3 linked regions of the Sus scrofa genome follow. The protein of the gene in region 1 interacts with the protein of each later gene in a pairwise test. Links are inferred from orthologs where the notes say so. Each region holds a gene or a part of one and is shown in the gene's direction. Other genes may lie near its edges.

The links.
Region 2: the proteins of CCND3 (region 1) and RBL2 interact in a two-hybrid assay, tested with the Homo sapiens proteins (2 studies listed by BioGRID). The link is inferred for Sus scrofa from reciprocal best matches to the Homo sapiens genes CCND3 and RBL2.
Region 3: the proteins of CCND3 (region 1) and ATF5 interact in a two-hybrid assay, tested with the Homo sapiens proteins (2 studies listed by BioGRID and IntAct). The link is inferred for Sus scrofa from reciprocal best matches to the Homo sapiens genes CCND3 and ATF5.

Annotation. Positions count from the first base shown.
Region 1 is NC_010449.5:37,177,866-37,186,092, reverse strand, and holds the start of CCND3 (G1/S-specific cyclin-D3), read left to right. Parts: upstream 1-3,630; 5' UTR 3,631-4,015; exon of another isoform or gene 4,016-6,823; intron 6,824-8,227. Other genes in the region: TAF8 (transcription initiation factor TFIID subunit 8), read right to left, coding at 2,551-2,707, 3,490-3,534. UniProt on the Homo sapiens protein: Regulatory component of the cyclin D3-CDK4 (DC) complex that phosphorylates and inhibits members of the retinoblastoma (RB) protein family including RB1 and regulates the cell-cycle during G(1)/S transition.
Region 2 is NC_010448.4:31,757,218-31,765,244, reverse strand, and holds the end of RBL2 (retinoblastoma-like protein 2), read left to right. Parts: intron 1-2,961; coding exon 2,962-3,033; intron 3,034-3,429; coding exon 3,430-3,535; intron 3,536-4,381; coding exon 4,382-4,587; intron 4,588-5,169; coding exon 5,170-5,334; intron 5,335-5,830; coding exon 5,831-6,001; 3' UTR 6,002-7,527; downstream 7,528-8,027. UniProt on the Homo sapiens protein: Key regulator of entry into cell division. Directly involved in heterochromatin formation by maintaining overall chromatin structure and, in particular, that of constitutive heterochromatin by stabilizing histone methylation.
Region 3 is NC_010448.4:54,940,952-54,949,178, forward strand, and holds the start of ATF5 (cyclic AMP-dependent transcription factor ATF-5), read left to right. Parts: upstream 1-4,115; 5' UTR 4,116-4,203; intron 4,204-4,429; exon of another isoform or gene 4,430-4,545; 5' UTR 4,546-4,708; exon of another isoform or gene 4,709-4,889; intron 4,890-6,055; 5' UTR 6,056-6,174; coding exon 6,175-6,352; intron 6,353-7,901; coding exon 7,902-8,227.

The DNA of each region.
Region 1 (8,227 bases):
AGCAGCATCATTCACGACAGCTGAAAGGAGGAAACAACCCCATGCCCATCGATAGCTAATGGATACACAAAACCTGGGCTAGACACACAATGGAATACTAGCCAGCCTTCGAAAGGAATGGCATTGTGATACATGCTGCAACATGAATGAACTTTGAAAACACTGTGCTAAGGGAAATAAACCAGTCAGCCAGTCAAATACTTTAAGATTTCACTTGTATGAGGTATCTAGAAAAAAAGAAAATTCAGAGAAACAAAAGATAGTTTAGGAGTTCCCATCGTGGCTCAGCGGTAATGAACCTGATGAAACCACGAGGATGTGGGTTCAATTCCTGGCCTCCCTCAGTGGGTTAAGGATCTGGCGTTGCCGTGAGCTGTGGTATAGGTCGCAGACGTGGCTCAGATCTGGCGTTGCTGTGGCTGTGGTGTAGACCAGATAGCTGCTGCGATCTGACCCCTAGCCTGGGAACATCTATATGCTGCAGGTGCAGCCCTAAAAATACAACAGCAACAACAACAAGAAACCAACCGTGAGAACCTCTGAATTCCAAGATCTTTGCAGGAACTGAATTCTTATCTATTGAGAGCTATGAATCCCCTCCTCCAGGACAGAAGTCCTCAAAGTGTGGTCTGGAAATCCCTGGATGTCCCTGCAATCCTTTCCCGAGTGCATAGGTCAAAACCATGTTAATAATAAAATGAGACATTCTTTGACTTTTTTTACTCTCATTCTCTCATGTAGCTTTCCAGAGGCTCTGTCACCTGTGATGACATCAGAGTTCTGAGGGATAATGGAATGTGTGCTTGCGCATTCCTAGTTTTTAAAATGTTCTCAGTTTTCTTGTTTTCGTTTCTTTTCCTTTTTTTGGCTGTGCCTGCAGCATGCAGAAGTTCCCACGCCAGGGATCAAACCTGAGCCGCAGAAGCATCCCAAGCTGCTGCAGTGACAATGCTGGATCCTTAACCCACTGCACCACAAGGGAACTCCTCAGTTTTATTTTCTAATGTGGCAAAAATCTCTTTCTATGAAGCCCATGTATACAAAACTCCTTGGGTTCCTCAATATTTAAGAGTTTTAGGGGTTCTACGAGTTTGAGATGGCTGCTTTCGGAAAACAGTTGGTATTTTGAAGTTCCAAACGTCAGCTGCAGAGGGTCACCTCATCCCAGATCATGCCCTTCCTGGGGCAGCCAATATCCTCGGGGGACTGATCAAAACTGGAGTGCAAGGCAGGGTTTTGGAGGCCTGATGTCAGATACTCTGATGGGCAGTAATCACTCTAGCATGCCCCACTGAGTTGGCCAATTCTTTATTTGGCCTGCACTGCAGTTCATCTTCTCCTTCAGCCTAAATCTTTCTCTCACATCCATTCATGAGGCTGATTTCCACTCCATCCCACCAAACGCCTTCGATACCCTCACCCCTCGTTCCACCCCACCCCCAAAAAGGCCCAAATAGGGAAATACATTGCACATGCAGAAGAGCCTATGTGAGATCATTCTATTTCCTCAAACCTCAAGATAATTCATTTTTAAAGTGTCTTCTTGGGGGAGGGAGTGGGGTGGACTGGGAGTCTGGGGTTAATAGATGCAAACTATTGCACTGGAGTGGATAAGCAATGAGATCCTGCTGTACAGCACAGGGAACTCTATCTAGTCACTTATGATGGAACATGATGGAGGATAATATGAGAAAAAGAATGATGCATATATATGTGTGACTGGGTCACTTTGCTGTACAGTAGAAATCGACAGAACACTGTATACCAACTATAATGGAAAAAATAAAAATCACTAATAAAAAAAAGTGTTCTCTTCCCATTTTATAAAACTTACTCACCTTCACCATTTGTTATCACATAGCATTTGATTTTATACTGTATGGCATCTATCTCACGGGAATTAATCCTGATTCTTCAACAAAATTGTGAGTTCTTTGAGCAGAGGGAACAGTGTAATAGCAGCACCTACAGGTCATCAAGAGCTGACAATGTTCCCAGCTTTGACCGTTTTACGTATACATCTCATTCATATTCACAACTCTGTGAGGTGCAAATTATCCCACTGCATAAATGAGGATATTGAGGTTCAGGAGGTTTATGGTTGATGGCTTACCCAAGCTATTAAGTGGCAGAGTGATGACTTACACCGAGGTCTAAAGATTCTAGAGCCTATAGATCACTTTGCTAGGTTCTTCTTTTTGTTTTTGTCTTTTTGCCTTTTCTAGGGCTGTTCCTGTGGCATATGGAGGTTCCCAGGCTAGGGGTCTAATCAGAGCTGTAGCCACCGGCCTACACCAGAGCCACAGCAACACGGGATCCAAGCCGCGTCTGCGACCTACACCACAGCTCACAGCAACGCCGGATCCTTAACCCACTGAGCAAGGCCAGGGATCGAACCCGAAACGTCATGGTTCCTAGTCAGATTCGTTAACCACTGCGTCACAAGGGGAACTCCACTAGGTTCTTCTTTTTCTTAAATCCTAATACTCTCTCAAGACAGAGCACAGATGTTTGGTTGACTCAGAAGGCCCCTTGTTTCCTGGTACTTACAGCTCTGCAGCATCTCTGTCAGTGTTTCCACAGATGCTTTCTCAGCGCTCTCAAACCCTGCCTCTGTTAACAGGGAGCTCACAACCACTTGCAGAGTTCGCCTCCGGGCCAGATGGTAGTTATCAGCAGGGTTAGTGGACTGTTTACTTCCTGATCTCTGTAAATCAGCAGCCCAGAAAGAGAATACTTTCATCCTCAGGACGAGGATGCAGTCATGTAGTTCACATATTGTCAATGGCAAACAAAGGTTCTTTTGCTAAATCTTTATGTATCAGTGTGGTAGCTCCTGATGTTTAGACTTACAGCTCTTCGCCAAATAACTGAGCACCCAAGTGGCTCTAAATTCGAAAACAGCCTTTCTGCCTAGGTAAAACTTATCAATTACAATAGTACAAAATGGCCGTTTCCTACTTTCTATTTTGGATTATCTGAATATATAGCTGAAGAAACATGCAGGATAGAATTGAATTCATTGGTCCATCTCCTAGAAAAAAAGTAATCTCTCTTTTGTCCCTCCCATCTCCACACCATTAACGAGGAAAATTAAAACAACAAACAACACATGCTGCTGAGTAGAGGAGGGCAAATGATAAGAACATCGACAAATTAAAAAGCTAAATATTTTGAAACAGGAATCCCTCCCAACTTTGGCGGGCCAATAAGAAGGCGAAAAGAGCCCCACTGGACCAATCAGGAGGTGTTCCGGGTTCCCAACCCCCAACAGAGAATGAGCCAATCAGTACACAGGTCCACCAACTCCCGAGGCCGCCGCCAAGTCTCGAGGAGGAGGAGGGGGGCATATACGGCCTGAAAGACCTTCCTCCACTCAGAGCATGTGGTGGGGCCCTATTTCTGGGTGTGAACATGTTGCCAAGGCTAGGGGGACATTACAGAATCCCCAGGCTCTCTGGGCTTCCGCCCCGCGCCTCCCGCCCTTACCGTTCCGGAGGCCCCGGCCCCGGCAGTGGCCGCCGCGTCGGCCATCTTGCTCTGGCGTAATGTGCGCGAGCGCACGGCAGGATGGGACTTGTAGTCACCCGGCGGGGAGGAACCGCGAGGGGGCGGGGCCGCGCGCCCCGTTGGGCTTTGTGGGGCCCAGCCGGGTCGGGGGTGAGTCTGGTTATCCCGGTTCACGTGACCTGTGAACGGTGGGTTCAGCGAGCCCCGGAAGTGGCTAGGAAAATGAGCCCTCGGTTTCACACCTATTTAAAAACGAAATCGTTTTTCATAAAAAGCACATCCCTGGAACGCTCCAAACTTGCCTGATTGTTAGCCACACCTGGCTAGGTCCGGCGGATCCCCGTGACTTTACTCTCTGGAGGAGGGGTCTTGGGCATCTGTATTCTTAAGTTCTCCAAGTGAGTCTCCTGAGCCTGGATATTTGGGGAAGCTTTGTTTTGTGCTGACGGACCCAGAGCCAGCCAATGGCCCACTTGGAACGAGAGCCAGCAGTCACGTAATCCAGGTGTGCCACTGCATCCGGCTGCCTTCTCGCCCTCAATTAACCCTCAGGTATTTTTGGGGCGAGCCGGGAGGCGTCGGCGGTAGGAGGCTGTCCGGTGCCTGCCTCACTCCCAGGCCGTGGAGTCTACGTAGTGCCTGTGGTTTTCTGCGGTTCACTCGCGGGTCAGCCCCTCTGGATGGGGGTCCTTCATGCACCGCGCCTCGTCTGTCTCCGTTTGCGGGTGCCCGGCAGCTCGCAGAGGCTGGGTTTGAATCTCAGCACTCGCCAGCTGTGGGACTTCGGGCAAATTACCTAACCTCACTTTGCCTCAGTTTCCTCTTTCGTGAAATTAGGGTGGGATGGGTAGCCGCGGGGGAGGGAATAAGCTAATATACACAGAGTTTATCACTGTGCAGACTGAGAGTAAGAGGTCAAGAAGCAGCGCCTAATGTTATTTATTTCTTGCGTGGCGAGTGGATGAGCAGAAAACGCTCACATGCAGAAGTCGGGGAAACCTGCGCCACGCCTGCCCCGCCGCGCGCACCTGAGCGTGGGGGGCGCCCGGTCCCCTCACCTGGGGCACAGGGGGCAGGTCTGACGGTCGGGGTCGCTGCGCGGGGTGAGCCACCCGGAGAAATCGGGCCCCAAACCTGAGTTGAGCAGAGCACCCAGCCCCTTTGTCTCCTCCGCCCCCCCTTCCCCACTTCCTGCCCAGCTTTAAACTCGGGATTGGCGGCGCGGCGCCGACTTTGTAAACACGCCGCGCCTGCGGCGGTGGAGACTGGTTCTGTTTGGGCGTCTGGGGGAGGGGTGCACGCCCCTCCCCGCGGCTGGAGGTGGCGACCCCCCACCTCGCCAAAGACAGAAACCAGAGGCGGCGGCGGGAGAGTGTCTGCGGCCACGGCCAGTGCTCCGGGGGGCTCACCTGCCGAGGAGGTAGGCTTGAAGGCTGGAGAAGCCAAGATAGATGGGTGTCAGCATCTCCCCGCTTCGCTGGGGCCTTCGAGCTGAGGCGGGACACCTGGGCGGGGAGTCGGAGGTGGCGACCTGATCAGCCTCCTCGATGTCTCTCAAAGCTCGGTTCACTTTCTCTCTGAGTTGCAGAGGCTGAAAGGCAGAGAGCTCCCCCAAAGCTCTGAACTTTCTCTGTGTCCACACAGGCCCTCTTCAAACTGATCTGGAAGCCTAGTGACTTCACTGGGCTGTCTGTCGTCCTTCTTCATAATTCAGAGATGGGGTGGGAGGCAGTAGGGGGGCAGACCCAGTGTGGGCAGCGAGCCTTGGGGGTCCTCCTGCCAGCCAGGGCTGAGGGAGGAGGCCAGAGGACTGGAAGGAGGAGCCTCTCAGTGGGGGTCCCTTTGGTGTCTGCGGGTTACACAAGTGACGGCTTTAGCCTCTTCTGTGTCTTTTAATGTGTCAACAAGAGGATTAACTGAGGAAATTGGTTGCTATTATTCAGAAAGCATTACGGTATTCATTTGCACACATTGAGCGCCTAGTATGTGTCTGGGATGGTGTGTGGGCGCTGAGGGTGCAGTGATGTTATTTGTCCACAGTGATCTAGCCTGGGTCATAGAACACCAGAGATAAGGTGCCAGGTTGGGGTGGCTGGGAAGGCTTCAGAGAGAAGAGGACATTTGAGTTGGCTTCTGAATGATGACTAGTCCCCAGGCAGAGGTGTGATGGGAAGTCTTTGCTGGGCACTTATTGATTCTGCAGAGCTGGACTCGCCCCTGACTGTGGCATTGGGCCTTGGAAAACAGTGGGCACCCAGAAGCCGTCTCGGCATTCTTTAACCCACTGTCTAGACATGAAGAAGAGATAGGAATGTAACAGGATGACTTTAGGGAAAGGCATGTGTCCGGGCTGGTCCCCAAGAACCCAGAAATTTCCAGCTGGACGAAGCTAGGAGAGTCCACCCCAGGGGTGATGTAACAGTCCACACAGTCCTGGGGCACCACCCACTCCCCGTCCCTGGATGCTGGGACTGCGTCCTCTACCAAGTCCTTGCACTGTGCCCTTTCTCTTTGGGACCAGAGAGTGAAGAGAACTGGATTCCCCCCATGCTTCCCTGTAGGTTCTTCTGCTTTTTCAGTCCCCAGGCTCCCTTGGGAGATGGCTGACACAGCAATGGATTCAACCATCCAACACCTGTTTGCTGTGGCCACACTGTCTGCACAGGACATAATGGTTGACAAGTCAGAGCCTCTGCTCCCCTGGACTTTAGGATCAAAAGCGACTCTGAGAATTCCAGCAGGAACCTAGTCTGTCCGGTCCTTGAGCCCATGACCTCCGAGTGTCTTCTCTTTGCCATTTCCTTCCCTAAAGGGTCCAGAGCAACAGCTAGGGCTTCTATAGCACTGTCAAGTACCCTCCTAAATGGTTTTGGTGTGATGTCTGGTTTAATTCTTCTGCCCGTCCTGTGAGGTGAGCGCTAGGATCATCTCCATCTTCTCGTTGAGGAAACAGGCACAGCGACCATTTTCCTAAAGAGGACACCAGGCGTAAATGGCAGGGCTGGGATTTGAACCCAGGTCGCTTGACTTGGGAGACCTGGGTCAGCTGACCTGTTCTTAACCATTAGGCCAGTCTGCCTCCTTGACCCACCACATGGGATGTGAGCCTTGAGCCAGGAGCTTAGATGTTTCCGAAAGGAAGCTGTGGTCCTGTATCTCAGGCGATACAAAGGAGAGCAGCAATCTGTTAGCTGAGCTTGGGTGCTGGTGCTATTTTCAGGGAGCTCCAGGAAGCCTGGAGAAGGGTTATCCGGACAACGCAGAGCTGGTATCCTTTGCTCATGGCCGTGTGTGTGTGTGTGTGTGTGTGTGTGTGTGTGTGTGTGTGTGTGTGTGTTTTATGTGTTTTCCTGAATGTGCATGTGTTGTGTGTTTTTCAGTAAGCCTTTGATGCAAAAAAGATGCAAGGAGGTGATGTGCCAGAATCTGGGGAGATGGGAAACCAAGCTTCCTCTTTTGTTGGGAATCTGTAACAAGAGCAAAGACCCTCATATTCTAGACTCCAAGGGGAACGGATCCCAGTTGGTAGCTGAGCAGGGAGGATGGTCGGAGAGCGGAGTCAATCTTAAGATGCGCACCTTTCCTCCCTGCAGTTGCTGCCTCCCAAAGTTGCATGAGAGCATCTAACCCCCCTCCTCTAGGCAGGCTGGGACCTTGCCCCTGGGTTCTTGGGGACCAGGCCACAGGACAGAAGTTCTATGGCTTTCAGCCATTTTCCCATCCCTTTCATGAACTCTCGCTTTCTCACATGAGCCCTCTGAACAGAGCAGATCTGGGGAGGCCCAGGAGCTGCCCCTCTCTGCCTGCAGTCACACCACCTTTAGTGTCTGTCTTTGAGGGAGGGGTGTGTGTTGGGGGTGGGGTGTTAGTGCCGGGAGTAGAGCGGGGCCGATCCGCGGTCGGTTGGTCGCAGGTAAAGCGGGATGTGACGGTCAGAACTAGGTAGACCTCCAGGCTGCTCTTCTCCACGCCCACCTCCCTCCCTCTCCGGGAATAGGGTGAGGTGTGGTGGCAGCCTTGGCACAGGCCCCCGCCCCCGGAGCTGCCTTCTCTGTTGAGAACAGGTTGTACTCTTGAGAAACCACAAGAGGAAGTTTAGGGAGCGCTGGGGGTGGGGAAAGTTCTGGGGCCCCTGCCAAGTTTCCCTTTCTCTGCTGAGTGGTAGGTGTGTTTATTTTGGTGTGTTTCTCTTGCCCTCAAAGACATTTAAATTTTAAACCCACTGAGTTTCACAGAGCTGTCAAGGCCTGTTCCGTTACAGTGTGTTTGTCTTGGAGGGGGTGAGAGTAGTCAGAGACACCCCTGGAAATGGCTTTGCAACAAGGTACTCAGTTTTTGGATTTCACCTCGGATTTGTGCTGGTTAGGAAAGGCCAGCTAACTTCACAAAGTCTTTTCTCGTCTCTGCCCTTTCACCTCCCTCTTCCCCAAAGCACTCCCTACAGCCTCAAACACTGGACAGTGTGGTTATAATGGCCACTTGGGAGCCAAATGATGTTGCCAGGAGCTGTCCTATGTGTTCCACCTGCCTTATCGCCTTTAATATTCACCATAACTCCAGGTAGTAAATGCCTCTATCCCCAATTTACAGATGAAGAGACTAAAGCACAGAAAGGCTTAGAATCTTGCCTGAGGTCACACAGCTAGTAGGTGGCAGAGCCCAGATTTGAACACTGGTCTGACTTCAGAGCCTGAGCTCTTGAGGTCTATTTAACCCT
Region 2 (8,027 bases), on another chromosome or scaffold:
ATTTTGAAAATGGGGTATTGAATACGCTATTATTGAATTGTCTTCATTTCTGTTTTTACCGCATGTATTTTGGCGCTCTGTTATCAGGTGTATGTGTTTTTAATTGTTAGAGGTTCTTTATAGATTGATACTTTCATCATTAGGAAATGTTTCTCATTATCTCTAGTAAATTCTTTTAAGTGGCCACATGTGCTGCATATGGAAGTTCTCGGGCTAGGGGTTGAACCTGAGCTGCAGCTGCTGGCTTACACCACAGCTGAGTTAACATTGGATCCATAACCCACTGAGAGGCCAAGGATGGGATCAAACCTGTGTCCTCAAGGACACTATGTCAGGTTCTTAGCACACTGAGCCACAACCGGAGTTTTTTTTGTTTTCAAGTCTATTTTATAGTGTGATAGTTGAATAGCCACCCCACCTTTCTTGAGGTTGCTGTTGGGCATAATGTATCTTTTCATCCTTTTCTTTCAAATCTCTTTGTATATCTTAATCTAAAGGGTGTCTCTTATAGACAGAGTGTAGTTATATCTCTTTTTTTAAATCCAATCTAACAATTTCTGCTTTTTGATTGTGGTGTTTAATCCATTCACATTCAACATTAGTTTTAACTGGATTTATCACATCTGTCATTTTTTTGTTTTTTATGCATGTCTTATGTCTTATACTCTAGTCCTCCTTTACTACTTTCACTTACTACAGGTAAATAATGAAGCATTTTAATTTCAGTAATGACTTTTATTTGGTCTTTTGTCTTTTTAGGGCCACACTTGTGGCATATGGAAGTTCCCAGGGCAGGGGTTTAATCAGAGCTACAGCTGCCAGTCTACAGCATAGCTCACAGCAACACCGGATCATTAACCCACTGAGTGAGGCCAGGGGTCGAACCTGCAACCTCACGGTTACTAGTCAGGTTTGTTAACCACTGAGCCACACAACGGGAACTCCGAGTAATGACTTTTTAACTATTTTTTTTTCTTAGTGGTTTCTTTAGGGCTTGCATGTTTTTTTTTTTTTTCCCCTTTGTGCTCTTTTTGCTCCAGGTTTATTGAGATATAATTGACCTGCCACGTTGTGTTAAAATGTACAGTGTGATGATTTGATACACATGTATGTTGCATTATGATTACCACTATAGGTTAGTTAACATCCATTACCCAGCTTTTTCTTGGTAGTAAGAACATTTAAGATCAACTCTCAAACAGTACAGTTAAACTATAGTCATCATACTGCTTATTAGATCCCCAGAACTTATTCATCTTATAAATGGAAGCTTGTCCCCTTTGATCAATCTCCCCACTTCCTCCAACTGCCACATATAATCTTTATTTATGAAATCCAGCTTCAAATGTATACTGAATTCAGTGGTACATAGAATTGTACCTCCTATGTAACTTTCCTTTTTGTTATTTATGTGATAATACTGCTACACATTTATCCATAAACGTTATAAATTTAAAAATACATTTTTTATAAGTTTTAAGAGCTGAGAGAAAAAATGAATACAAATATTCATTTATAGCTTTTGTTACATTAACCTTATTTACCATTTATGATTCTCTTTATTGGCTCATGGGGATTTGAGTTGTCGTCTATAGTCATTTCCTTCAGGACAGTACAGCTTTGCTCTTCATTGTCTTTGTGCTGTTTTTGGCAAATATATATCACATTCATATATGTATGAATTATATGTATATAATTTTTAAAATGTCAGTTGAAAATATGTACTTTCTACTGTCTTTCCAGCTACACAGTTATCTTTACCATTGCCCTTTGTTTTTTCATGTGTATTCGAATTACTGTATGGGGTCACTTTTAGTTTGAAGAACTTTCAGTATTTTCATGCAAGATGGTTGTGCCAGTAGCACATTTTCTGTCTTTGAGATTTCACTTTCAGTTATGAAAGATAACTTTGCTGGATGCTAGATTCTTAGGTTTTACCTTGTCCGTTGTCTCATAGCCTCCATTGTTTCTTTTGTCTTTTCAGGCCCACACCTGCGGCACATGGAGGATCCCAGGCTAGGGGTCAAATTGGGAGATGTAGCCGCTGGCCTATACCACAGCTACAGCAATGCCAGATCCAGGCCGCATTTGCAGCCTACACCACAGCTCATAGCAATGCCAGATCCTTAATCCACTGAGCGAGGCCAGGGATCAAACCTGCCACTCGTGGTTGCGGGTGGATTCATTTCTGCTGCACCATGACAGGAATTCCATCATAGCCTCCATAGTTTTTAATGAAAAGATGTTACTTACTGGGGTTTCCTAGAAAGCAAAAAGTTGCTTTTCTCCTGATGCCATCAAGATTTTTTCTCCCTTTCTTTGGCTTTCAGCTTTTTTACTCTATATCTGGGCATTAACCTCTTCACATTTATCCTACTTATGTGTAGATTATTTTTAAAATAAGTTTGGGAAGGTTTTGGCCTTTGATAATTATTTTCTGCTTCTCTTTCCTTATGTTACTCCCATTATGTGTATCTTGGTGTGCTTAGTGGCATGGCATATTTCTTTGAAGCTCTGTTAACTTTTTTTCTCTGTTCTTTTGGATTGCACAACTTTAGCTTCAGGTTTGCTTTTTTTTTTTTTCTTTGCAAATTCAAATCTCTTTTATCCTCCAGTGAATTTTTTGTTACTGTAATTTTTTATTCTAGATCTGGGTTCACATACCGTTAATTCCTTCTGTTGCTAACTGGATTTTAGTAGATTTTCTTGAATATTTTTTTCCTCATTTGTTGTATGCCTTCAGGGCCATTTCCAGACACTATTTTTTAAGTATATTCACTTTATTGTGAAACAGATCTCCAGGACTTTTTCATCTTGCAAATCTTAAATCCTATATGTACCCTTCCAGACACTTTAAATGGTTGTTTTAAATACAATTTTCACCCATTTCATGGAACATCTCATAGTAAGTATTATGCGAAAAATCAAATTATTTCTCAGAATACTCTTATTCTTTGTCAGGTCACAAAAGAAGACAAGTCCTTCCAGAATATTATGCGTTGCTATAGGACTCAGCCACAAGCCCGAAGCCAGGTAACTACACTTTCTTTTAGAGCTGAAAATAAAGATAAAAGTCTTTGATGAATATGAAAAAATTAACTACAGTTGATTCTATGGCCTTTTCTCCAGAATAAACACCTAAGACTGTGAGATCTTTGCATTTGACTTAGAATGACTTGATTTTATGGTTGGATACTATTACTGTATTGTAGGCAGTACCTTGAAGTACTGCCTGATAGACCCTGGTATAAATCCAATATCTGTTATTTACTAAGATATATAACCTTGAGTGTACTTATTAACCTCCCATGAGTAGGACAACGATTACTATATGGAATTGTGAGAATTGAATAACATGTTAATATCAAATAGTCTAGAATGTGCTTGATAAATACTCATTTCAGTTCCTTTCTTATAATCTTTCTAAAGGTGTATAGAAGCGTTTTGATAAAAGGGAAAAGGAAAAGGAGAAATTCTGGCAGCAGTGATAGTAGAAGTCATCAGAATTCTCCAACAGAACTGAACAAAGATAGAAGTAAGTGGGATCTTTATGAACTTATAAAAAATTAGGAGTTTCTCTTGTTTTAGCCCTAGAAGACTAAGGATTACTAAATGAAATTACTGTTATGGAAGCCATGAAAGTATTTTATTGGCAAAAGATTTGTTGGAACAATAAACCAAACTCTAAATTTAGTAGCAAAGTTGTTTATCCTTTATCCCAGGGCTTTGAGACACGTTGTGCATAATATTTTTCTCCTGGGAAATTAGAGAAGTGAGGCATTTTTTTGACCTGAGTTCCAGAAAAATGTGGCATGTCCACTGAAACCATGCTATGGAAATACCATCCTTAATTGTTGGTTGACACCAGTCAATGCAAAGCTCAGGTCCTAAAAAACTTGGTATCAAGTTAAAACTACTCAGTAAACCTTTGCTGTGGTAATAGCATGGTAGTATAAGTTAGTACTTAATAGTATCTGTGCTTCACTCCCTGGTATGTAGAATAGAGCACCCACCTGCTGCCATTTAAACAGGTAGAGCAGGTAGTGTATCTAAATGAAATTTTTTTTTTTTTTTTTTTTTTTTTGCTTCTTAGGCCCACACCTGTAGCATATGGAGGTTCCCAGGCTAGAGGTCGAATGGGAGCTGTGGCTGCCTGCTATAGCCACAGCCACATGGGATCTGAGCCATGTCTGTGACCTACACCACAGCTCATGGCAATGCTGGATCTTTAACCCATTGAGCAAGGCCAGGGATCAAACCCACATCCTCATGGATACTAGTCAGATTCGTTTCTCCTGAGCCAAAACAGGACCTCCTGACTGAATTTTTTAAAAAATAGTCTGCATTAGCAGTCTTCAACACTTTGTTCTACCGGTTGCAGCCAGTAGAGACTCCAGTCCTGTCATGAGGTCAAGCAGCACCTTGCCTGTTCCACAGCCCAGCAGTGCCCCTCCTACACCTACTCGCCTCACAGGTGCCAACAGTGACATGGAAGAGGAGGAGAGGGGAGATCTTATTCAGTTCTACAACAGCATCTACATAAAACAAATTAAAACATTTGCCCTGAAGTACTCACAGGCAAATGTAGTAAGTATACTGAGAATTATTTCATACTTTTTTCACTTATGAGGAATCACCTTTTTTTTTTGAGGAATCATTTATGTTTGAGCTGCTTCTCTGTAAACTAGTTTTACATATAATTCTTTTGTTAAGACTAAGGAAGTCTCTAACAGAAATTATTTGCCTAACAATTTCTATTGTTGTGAAGCATTAATAAATAAGAGTAACAGGGTTTATTTGGCTTCTCTCAAAGTATAGTAGAAATTATCCAAAACTTACCAGCTCTGGTGACCTTGTGTATTATTTAACTTTCTTGGTGCCTCTCGTTTCCTCATACATAAAATGGGAACAGATGGAGGTTCCTTGCTTATAGGGTTGTTGTGAGATTAAATGACAGAATGCGTTAAAGATGCTTAAAACAGTGATTGTCACAAAGTAAGCCCTTAAATGTTTGCTACTGGTAGGGCTTTAAATGTTGCTAATACATCACTATCCACCATTCATAAAGCTATGGGTTTATTACACCTTTTCACACTTACACTAAAAACCATTTTAAAAAAACTAGTTAGAAACTTTACCTTTCTTAAAAATTGCAATTTTTTTTAACAGATGGATGCTCCTCCACTCTCTCCCTATCCATTTATAAGATCAGGCTCGCCTCGCCGAATACAGTTGTCTCAAAATCATCCTGTCTACATTTCCCCACATAAAAGTGAAGCAATGCTTTCTCCTCGAGAAAAGATTTTCTACTACTTCAGCAACAGTCCTTCAAAGGTGAGCCTAATCTAAATCTTGGCCTTTACTAACCCCACATACTTGAGTTAAGGCTTCTCTTGTGAAGTTCCATGGCTGCTTTAAAAATGAGTTAACATTGGGTGGGCATAATACTGTATAAAGTCATGCTATTTTTAAAGAAATGAAAATGGAGGTGTATGAAATTGATTAAATATGGCATAGCAGTGTGATCCTCTAACTTTTGTGAAAGGGAAAAAACCCCACAAATTTGTCAACTTTTGCACTGTGGTAAAGTGTATATCAAAATCACCTCTGGAGCTTTTTTTAAAAAACGAATACTCTGCCTCTATCCAAGTTATCAATCTCAGCCAGCTGAGAGGTGAAATTGGAAGGATATTAAATTTAGTAGTTCTTTCCTCTATAAAGATGTCTAAACTCCTCAAGGTAAACTGCTTAACTCATTGGAGGATCTTTGACTTAACATTGAACTATGTATATTAGAATTTTAATATTTTTATATCTATCCCCACCCCAGAGACTGAGAGAAATTAACAGTATGATACGGACAGGAGAAACTCCAACCAAAAAGAGAGGGATTCTTTTGGAAGATGGAAGTGAATCACCCGCAAAAAGAATCTGCCCAGAAAATCATTCTGCCTTATTACGCCGTCTCCAAGATGTAGCTAATGACCGAGGTTCCCACTGAGGTTAGTCTGTTGTATTGAACCTGTCTTTTCACAAACTCTGTTTAGCAGCATCATTTAATGCATGCTAGAATGTAGGGCTCTTTTCCTTAATCCTTCCAGTATCTTTAGGATATTTTTACTCATCCCAGCTGCCTTTTTTCCTACCACTCAGTGCTTGCCATTAAGGCTGCTGAGAATCCAAACTTGGATTTTTTTTTTTAACTCTTTGGCAAAGCTATTACAAGTATCGCAGAGAACAGAGTGTACTCAGATATCTGTGGGAGAGGTCTCTGTTAACATGTTCCAGCAGAGAAACTGTGTTTTAATTCATTCCTACCTGTTTTGTGGTCAGCTCTAGCCCTCATGAAAAGCCAAACAAAAACTAGGTATTTTGTCCGAAAAAATTTGGTAGGAGTGAAAGATTTTTGCATTCCTAAAAGGTAGCAAGATAGTGCCCGATTTGGAGGTCCTAGGTTATTAGTCCAAGTCTCCCATTCCCTTTGTGTAATTTCTTTCCTCTCCCCATTAGGTGTGGTGCAGTGTGACAAGTGCTTGATTGTGTGCAATGTGTGAGTGAACCTATAAGAAGTGGCACTTTAGGGCTGTAAGAAGCATGATTTTGTAACCCAGATTTTGCTGTATATTTGCAATGGCACTTTCTACAATGTGAACTTTATTAAGTACAAAACTTCTAGGCTGAACTTAATTCAGTGTCCTCTTTGATGCTTTTGTACTTTTTTTAAAAACTGTTAAAGCCCCAGTAGCTACCTTTTGGACATGTGTTTTAAATTCTCCAGTTTTTTGTTAATAAGGATCAACGGGCTAAGTAAAGATTTTAAATCAAGTTGAATTAAGGGATTATGAAAAATTATGACCTCTTCCTTTAGGAGGTAGTTATCCAAAAGACACGTGTCTTTATTACGGTGAAATATTTTAAATATCTTTGGGTGTGTTCCTGGCAGTTAAAAAAATAAAATAGGTTGGAGAATTTGGGGTTTTATTAGTACATAGTACCGTTTTTACAAATTAGAAAATGCTAATTTAACAGCTATTGAATTATATATATATACATATATATATACACACACACCTTTATTAATCATTATTATTCCAGCAGTTTTCAAGTTGAATAATCTTATTAGGGAGAAAATTCAATTGTAAATTGAATCAGTATAAACAAAGTTACTAGGTAACTTCATATTGCTCTGAAAGAAATACGGAACTCACACTGTTCACCTAGAATAGTGTTCTGCAAAAATATTTATAAAAACCTCTCAAGATACTGCTACTGTAATTTTATATGAAAATAAGTGTATTTTTCAATAAAGCGTTTATAAATTACTCTTTGTTTAGTTATATTGAGAAAAGGGTTTCAGTTTCCTGGATAAATGACAAAGAACAATCATTTATTGGTTTATTGTCTCTACAAAACACATTAGTCATTCATCATTTAAATATCTGACTTCATTAGAAACCATTTTAACACTTTTTCTCCCTCCAGCCATAAAAATACAGTGAGTGATTTGCTTTAAAAAAAAAAAAAAAAGCTATGAACAAGTGTTCTGGTTTCCTCTCACTCACCTAGTATGTCCCTCAGTGACAGTGTCTGTGTATCAGTAACACAGTAGGCTGAAGACTGAGGTTCCAAGGATCTTCCGCTTAAAAGTGCTATTAGCTATGGAAACTGCTCCCCTCTACCTCTCCTCTCCATGTACAACTAAAACCGCTGATTTAAAAATCATTAGATAGTGCTGAACTCTGTCTACTCTATTAGTTTAAATGAATGCAACTTACCTTTAGCATTATACTCAGAAAAATACTTTAAGCCTCAAGGTCCCCAATAATTTGGAGTACTGAACTAGATAACCACCTTAAAGACACTTCTGACAGAAGTAATGCATTACGTAAAGAGAGGTTTCCAAAACTTGCTGTTAGAACCTAAGCATACATGGACAACACTGACACCAGTCCCCGTTCACACCGCTTTACTCTGCACGCAGTCCTCTGCCACTGGTCAGCTGTAACCAGCCCAAGTCCAGCAGGAAA
Region 3 (8,227 bases), on another chromosome or scaffold:
ATCCATCTGACGGAATCCTGGTGTCCCTCTCATCATGCCAGGCTGTCACCTTGGCAGGGAAGCCAGGAAAGGGTTCTGCAGTAGTGCAGGTGAGGACGGCCTCCTCTGGGCAGGGGCAGGTCACAATCAATAGAATTTGGCAATTGTGAACCACAGCAAACCTGGAGTGAAGGTCCAGGCGTGGTGGCCTCCAGGCAGGCTATGTCCTGAGCTGGGGGTCAGGGACCCCACACATCTGAGAGGAGACAGGCTCCCTCCGGGGCCTGCAGGGCGGTGGCAGCTGTACCGTGGAGGCCCGGGCTGTAAGCAGCAGTGTGACTGGACACAGGTCCTCTCACCTCTCAAGGCCTCAGTCTTGCCTGCTGCCAGACAAGCAGGTCAGCCTCTGTGAGCTGAGCCCATTCTTGGCATCGGGCCTGATTCTCAGGGTCCTGCACAGGGAGCTCTCCTTCCCCCCTCCCTGGCCCCCTCCCCTGCTCTGCTGGGGCCTCTGCCAGATCCTCAGCTCCAGGGCTCCAGTTGCCAGGTGTGCAGGGGGGCCCCCAGGGAATCCCCCCACTCCCCCTCCCCATCAAAGAGCCAGGGTGATGCAACCTGCCTGCAATAACCGCCTCACTCCCCAACCTAGCTCCTCCGCACTGAAAAAGAGTCCCCAGCAGCTCCACCCATGCTCCCAGCCCCAGCTGAGGAGTTGGAGGGCCTGGGGTACTGGACCCTTGGAGGTGTCTGGGAAGTAGGGGTGGGGGAGGCATCTGAGTCCTGGAGGGGCCATGGATCCAGATCAGGGCCAGGCATGGGGAGAGGGCTCAGGGCGCCAAGACCCGGGCTTACCGGCACCACTGACGACCCACTGCCCATAAACTCGAATATGCTGGGGAACTAAGTGCCCGCTGGCACCCGCTCAGCAGAAGGGACTCAGGCTGCTTGGGTAGGGCAGTTGGCATCAGGACTTAACTCTGTGGGAGCCAGCAGCTGGAGCGAGAGAAAGGCACAAGGGGCCGGGAGCAGGGACCAGGGGCTTCTCAGTCAGCATACACCACAAGCAACTGGCAACATGACTCCCATACCCAGTTAAGTTCGTCTGCAGTTGTTAAAAAGCATTCTACCTGGCCGTCCTCAAAACCCCATAATCTCCACCTACGAGCAAAACCAAATGGAGAGACAGTCCGTAGAGCACCCAACCCATACTCTTCAAGACCATCGAGATCCTGAGACAAGGCAAGTCTGAAAAAGCCTCCGCAGACAGACCAGAGGCAGCCAAGGAGACGCGACCACTAAGTGTAACGTGGCATCCTGGGGGGATCCTGGAACAGAGGAGGGGCGTTGGGGAACAAGTGGCCAAATCCGAGGACCAGGTGGAGTTGAGGCGATAGAAAGGGGCTGATGTTGACTCCAGTGTTGTGACAAGTGCGCCATGGCAATGTAAAGGCACCGACTTCTACTCCTCTGCACGGCCTTCACAGCTTTTCTATAAATCTACAATTATTCCAAAATAAAAAGTTTATTCAAAGAAAAATACTCTGCCTAGTCCACCCGTCATGACCTAGAAGGTCTTTTCAAGAGAAGAGTGGGGGGACTGTGCCCCCTCGTTGCCAACAGCCTGCCCAAGAGTCGACCCTAATCCTACCTGCTATGGCTCAAGTACCTACACTGAGGAGGGCAAGGAGAAGGAGGTCCTTACTTCTCACTTAAAAGGCCTTTGAAAGCACTACGGCTTAGCAATGGAGAAAACATATCCACCTCCGTAACAACAGAAACCGCTTATGTAGCACCTGATGTGTGCCAGGAACTAGGCTATGAGCAGGTGGCCTGGATTTACTCATTTAAATATCAGACAACACTAAGAAGGAGGCACTACGGACAGCCACTTACATCTGTATGTTTCTAGTCACTAAACTCCTGGCACTTTCTGTATGTTTCTAGTCACTAAACTCCTGGCACTTTCTAGTCACTTTTATCCTGGCACTATTTTTTTTTTTTTTTTTGGTTGCGCCCACAAAACTTCCCGACCAGGGACCAAACCCTCACCAAGTAATAACCAGAGCCACAGAGGTAACACCAGATCCCCAACCTGCTAGGCCACCAGAGGACTTCTGTTCTGGCACTATTAATGGAAACCGAGGCACAGCGAAACTGCCAGGAAGCTAATAAGTGGGGTATAGTCAGGGTGTGAATCCAACAACTTGCCTCCAGAGTCTGTGCTCTTAACTACTACTCCATGCCGCCTAGGTAATAATGTGGCCCCAAAGGACAAGTGCTCAAATACTGGCACAGTGGACAGGAAGTACTCTAAGGGAACGGGGTCAGATCCCAAAAAGGGCTTCCTGTAGGAAGAGCAGCCTGTACTGGGTATGTAATATATCAAATGATCAGTATAATTAACACTGCTGTATGTTACATATCAAAGTTATTAAGAGAATAAACCCAGAGTTCCCTTTGTGACTCAGTGGTTAACGAACCAGACTAGGATCCATGAAGATGCAGGTTCGATCCATGGCCCTGCTCAGTGGATTAAGGATCTGGTGTTGCTGTGAGCTGTGATGCAGGTCACAGATGTGGCTGGGATCCTGCATAGCTATGGCTGTGGCTGTGGCGTAGGCTGACAGCTGTAGCTCCATTTCAACCCCTAGCCTGGGAACTTCCATATGCCTCAGATGTGGCCCTAAAAAGCAAAAAAAAAAAAAAAAAAAAAAGAGAGAGAGAGAGAGAGAATAAACCCTTCCATATGTCATACCTTTGGCTCGGATCTGATTCCTGGCCTGTGAACTCATATGCCATGGAGTTGCCAAAGAAAAAAAGAAATATGTATTTTTTCTAAGTATCTATTTATTTACTTTTTTGGGTCTTTTTCGGGGCTGCACCTAAGGCATATGGAGGTTCCAGGCTAGGGGTCGAATCGGAGCTACAGGTGCCGGCTTACGCCACAGCAGCACCAGATCCAAGCCACATCTGCGACCTACACTACCGCTCATGGCAACGCTGGATCCTTATCCCAGTGAGCAAGACCAGGGATTGAACATGCATCCTCATGGATGCTAGTCAGATTCGTTTCCGCTGCACCACAATGGGAACTCCCTATTTCTATATCTTTAATTTCACATCTACAGGAAATGATAAATGTTCACTAAACTTATGGGTAATCAAATTGTTATACTGTACACCTTAAATTTATAAAGTTTAATTATATCTTGAGTAAAACTGGAAAAAAAAAAAGCACATGCACATGGAACAAAACAAAAGAGGCCCATGTATCATTCCAGGTAACTCAAGATCTGGGTCTCCCACCTTTGGATCTTGACTCAGTCTCATAACCACCACCAAAGTCCTGAAAAGTTGTACTCCAGGTGTAACGTCTAGATGTGGATGAATGGGGGAGGAGAGGGGCTTGCAGCAAAGACCCTCGTCTACGGGGTCTGGTGGAAGGCCCTGTGTAATGGGAGGGACTGGCCAGGAAGCCCCATCTCTTTCAGCAAATGGAACTACAGATCTCCCTAAGTCTGGCAAAGGTGGAAAACTGATCTGGGGGTGAGGGTGGGGTGCACGGAGGTAGAAAACCATTTGAAAGGACGTCTAGGTGAGGGGCAGGGACAGAAGAATGAACCAACGGGCCTGAAAGGCGTGCTAAGGATAAGGGCTAAGGGGAAGCCAGCAGGGGATGGACACGAGAGTCTGGGCAATGATGCCTTGCTCCCGGCAGCAGGATGGGGCTGAGCGTCCATCGTTTGAAATGGGGGAGGGCAGGGATGCTAGAGCGAAGGAGACACAAGAATGATCTATTAGCAGGTGTTGGATGGTCGAGTCTGGGGCTCTGGCCAGGGGAGTTGGAAGGGGTGAGACTGGTCCCCAGAGGTCCTTGTTATGGATAATAAAAGCGGTTGGACCAGGCATGAAGGAGGGCTGGTTTCACAGACACCGACTGCACGGATTTTCACAAACGACCCCACTAGGAAGAGGTGATTATTCTCATTTTACAGGTAGTTCCCTATCTACGAGGCTAGAGAATTTAAATTATTTGCCCAAGGCCACCCGCGCCCGTCTGCGATTTGAATGGAGCGCGGTCTGTGACTCAAACCAGATCCTAAGCCACAACAAGGGTTCTCAGAGTGCCGTGGCAGTTGAAGAGATCAGCACGTGGCTGGCCGGAAATTCGTGAAGCAAGAGAAAGGAAAGGAGAAATGAACTCGTGCAGGGATCGGGGAAGAGGTGAGGCTGAACCACCAGAATGAGAGGGAACAGAAAGCCGGACCCCGGATCAGAAGGAGAAAGGGGCCCCACCCGAGTGGGGGTGGTCCAGGGGGTCGGGAGCAAAGCAGGGCCAGATCCTCAGGTCAGAGGAAGGGGAGGGCTGAACGCCCTGGTCGGAAGTGGGGGACAGTCCCCGGGATCCCCGAGGGCTAGAGGCCAAGCCCGCCTCCCGGTTGGGGCAGCGCGGGGCGGGGCGCGGAAGGATCCGGGCACGCCGTGCTGCGCCGCCCCCGGTATATCTGTCCCCAGTCCCCCGGGCCGCCTCATTCCCCATCCTCAGATCACAATCTCTCCTCACAGTACCGCGACACCTCCTCCGCCCGCGTAGCTCCAGCCATGGCTCTGTAGCCGCGACCCCTCTGTGCCCCCGGCCAGTCGCCGTGCTCACCGCGCCTGCGCTCTCCGCTCCTGCCGTCTTTCTTCAGCTGAGGCCACCGCCGCCTCTTCTTTCCGCAGCCATGGAGTGAGTAACCGCTCGCTCGCCCCTCCCTCTCCAACCGTCTTTCCCGCCCTTTCCAAGCTCGCGGCCCTCACCACCGGGCTCGGGGGGGTGGGGAGACAAGAGTGAGGAATCACGGTCGCGCAGGCGCAGAAGAGACAAGACGCTCCGTTTGCGCGCTGCGGAGCATGCGCACTCAGCTGATGGGGGGAGGGTGCGTTCTTCCAGACAATGTTGGCGTTTAAAGACGACCACATGCGTTTGCGCCTGCGCACTAGCTCCCAGAGAGGGTGGGTTTCCCCCCTCCTCCCCGCTCTGATTGAGTCTGTCAATCAGCGATTGCTCAGATCCACCGGCGCTTGTATCTCGGAGCAAAGGGCTGACGAGCAGCAGCCGCACGTGCGCAGCACTGATCCCGAGGAGGGCGGAGCCTTGCGGGGGCAATAGGACAGCTCTGGGGCTGGAGCCTGCGCTTTGGCCCTCGGCGAGACAGCCGTGTACGGGGGTGGGGGGAGGGGGAGTCGGGAGCTGTTCTCATCCCGCCCCCCTCCACCCTCCGCCTCCCTCCAGTTTGCTCAGGCGTAAAAGCACGTCTTCCCTCCCTTTCTTTCAAGCAACTACGGGGGCGGGGGCGGGGGGAGAAGGCGGGGCTTAGAAACGACCAGTTAAGGGACGGGAGCTAGGATAAGAGACGTCGCGGAGGGTGGGGCGGGGGCGGGGTACCCTTTGGGAGAAGGGGCGTGGCTAAGCGCGCCGTGCGCTGAGGGGGTGGGGTTTATATTGAGAAAGAGGCGGGGCCTCTGGGAATCGTCGGGGAGGGTGGAGCTAATAAACCAGGGGGCAGGGCTTGGGGGGACGGGAGACCACTGCAAAATTCGAAGGGAAGAATGGGATTTGAATGGAGGATTTTGATGAAGGGGCGGGGCAGGGGGATTCCCCTGGGAACAGATTCACAGCAGGAATCTAGGGACAGGGTGGGGCCTAAAGGATATGTTTTAGGGCAAGAGGTGTGGCTGGAAGAAAATTCCCCTGGGATTGAGGTTTTTGTGTTTTTTTTTTTTTTTTTTTTCCATGAGAGATAGTATTATGGGGTGGGTGGGAGGGTCTTAAGGTAATTCCCCTGGGACACCATTATGTTTCAATATTGGAAGGATTGGGTCTAGGGAATTCTGAGGAAAAGTAAGTCGGGGCCTAAAGAAAATTCCCTTGGGAATGGGTGGGGTCCCCATTTGAGGAAAGAAAGGGCAGATGTAGAATTCCCAAAAGGTAAGGAATCCTGGGGACCTGAGGGGGTATCGCTTGGTTTCCCCATGGCCTTGGCCGTTGGCGAGGCTGGCCCCTAACCCACTCACTTTTGTCTCCCACTCGTAGGTCCTCCACTCTCGCCTTGGTGCCCGTCTTCGCCCAGCTGAGTAATCTCCAGAGCCTCCTGCCAGCTGTTGGTGCAGCCTCCTTCATTGCCATCTGTGCCCCGCACCCGAGCTGCAGCCATGTCACTCCTGGCGACCCTGGGGCTGGAGCTGGACAGGACCCTGCTCCCAGCTAGCGGGCTGGGCTGGCTCGTAGACTATGGGAAACTCCCCCTGGCCCCTGCCCCCCTGGGCCCCTATGAGGTCCTTGGGGGAGCCCTGGAGGGCGGGCTTCCAGGGGGGGGAGAGCCCCTGGCAGGTAAGGGTAGGCAAAGAATGGAGGTGGAGTCATGGAGTGAGCTGGGGTCAGGGGGCAGGGGAGAAGAAGAATTCATTCATTCGTGTATTTATTCCTTCAATAAATATTTCCTGAGCACCTATAATATGTCAGGCACTGTTAGGTGCTGGGGATACAGCTGGGAACAAGACCGACGTGGTGCCTACCCTTTTGGCGCTCACACTCTACTGGGGACAGACAAGAGACAAATGACGATGTGTGGGGATAAGCAGGAAACAGTAGCTGAGCTCAAAAGCGACAGCGAGGACTAGTTTACAGTGGGGAGCTGGGACACCCTTTCCAAGGCAGTAACATTTTGGCTGAGGCTTAAAAAATGGTACGGGAGTTCCCGTCGTGGCGCAGTGGTTAACGAATCCGACTAGGAACCATGAGGTTGCGGGTTCGATCCCTGCCCTTGCTCAGAGGGTTAACGATCCGGCGTTGCCGTGAGCTGTGGTGTAGGTTGCAGACGCGGCTCGGATCCCGCGTTGCTGTGGCTCTGGCGTAGGCCGGTGGCTACAGCTCCGATTCAACCCCTAGCCTGGGAACCTCCATATGCCGCGGGAGCGGCCCAAGAAATAGCAACAATAACAACAACAACAAAGACAAAAGACCAAAAAAAAAAAAAAAATGGTACGGAATGAGCCATGAAAAGACAGGGGGAGGAGTGCCCATTGTGGCGCAGTAGAAACGAATCCGACTAGGAACCATGAGGTTTCGGGTTTGATCACTGGCCTCGCAAAGTGGGTCAAGGATCTGGAGTTGCTGTGGCTGTGGTGTAGGCCAGTGGCTACAGCTCTGATCCGACCCCCAGCCTGGGAACCTCCATATGCTGCAGGTGCAGCCCTAAAAAGACGATAATAATTAAAGATGAAATCAGGTGTGTTTATGTGTGATCTAGTTTGCCATTTGAGAATGAACTAGAGGGAAAATCAAGAAACCGCAGGTGCAGAGTGAGGGTGTTGGAGGAGTTCCCTTCGTGGCTCAGCAGTTAACCTGCCTGTCTAGTATCCATGAGGATGCGGGTTCCATCCCTGGCCTCACTCAGTGAATTAAGGATCCGGCGTTGCTGTGAGCTATGGTGTAGGTTGCAGACACGACTTGGATCCTGCATTGCTGTGGCTGTGGTGTAGGCCGGTGGCTACAGCTCCAATTCGATCCCTACCCTGGGAACCTCCACATGCTGCAAGTGGGGCCCTAAAAAGCAAACCAAACAAACAAAAGGCTTGAAATGGTTGACTGTTTCGTTGAGTGGGTCGTGGTTGGTTGGCTTATTCATTGATTGCTTAGTTAATAGGTTGATTGGTCTGTGGATTAGCAGTTGGTTGACTCAGTTGATTGGCTGGTTAGCTGTTTGGTTGATGGGTTGGGTAGTTGGCTAGTCTCTTGGTTTATTCATTGGTTGGTTGACTGATTGACTGGTTGCTGGTTTTACCGAATGAATGGGGTGAATGAGGCGGACAGGGGTGAGACCTGGCTGGCTGAAGGACTGGGAACTCAAGGAACTTTCTGTCCCTCTCCAATCCTCCAGGTGACGGCTTCTCTGACTGGATGACCGAGCGGGTGGACTTTACAGCCCTTCTCCCTCTGGAGCCCCCCTTGCCCTCGGGTGCCCTCTCCGCAACTTCCCCACCTGCCCCCGACCTGGAAGCTATGGCCTCCCTCCTCAAGAAGGAGTTGGAACAGATGGAAGACTTCTTCCTCGATGCCCCACTGCTCCCACCAACCTCCCCACCGCCGCCACCGCCAGCACCAGCACCCTCCCTCCCTCTCCCCCTCCCCACCTTTGACCTCCCCCAGCCCCCTGCCCTGGACACCCTCGACTTGCTGGCCATCTATTGCCGCAGTGAGGCCGGG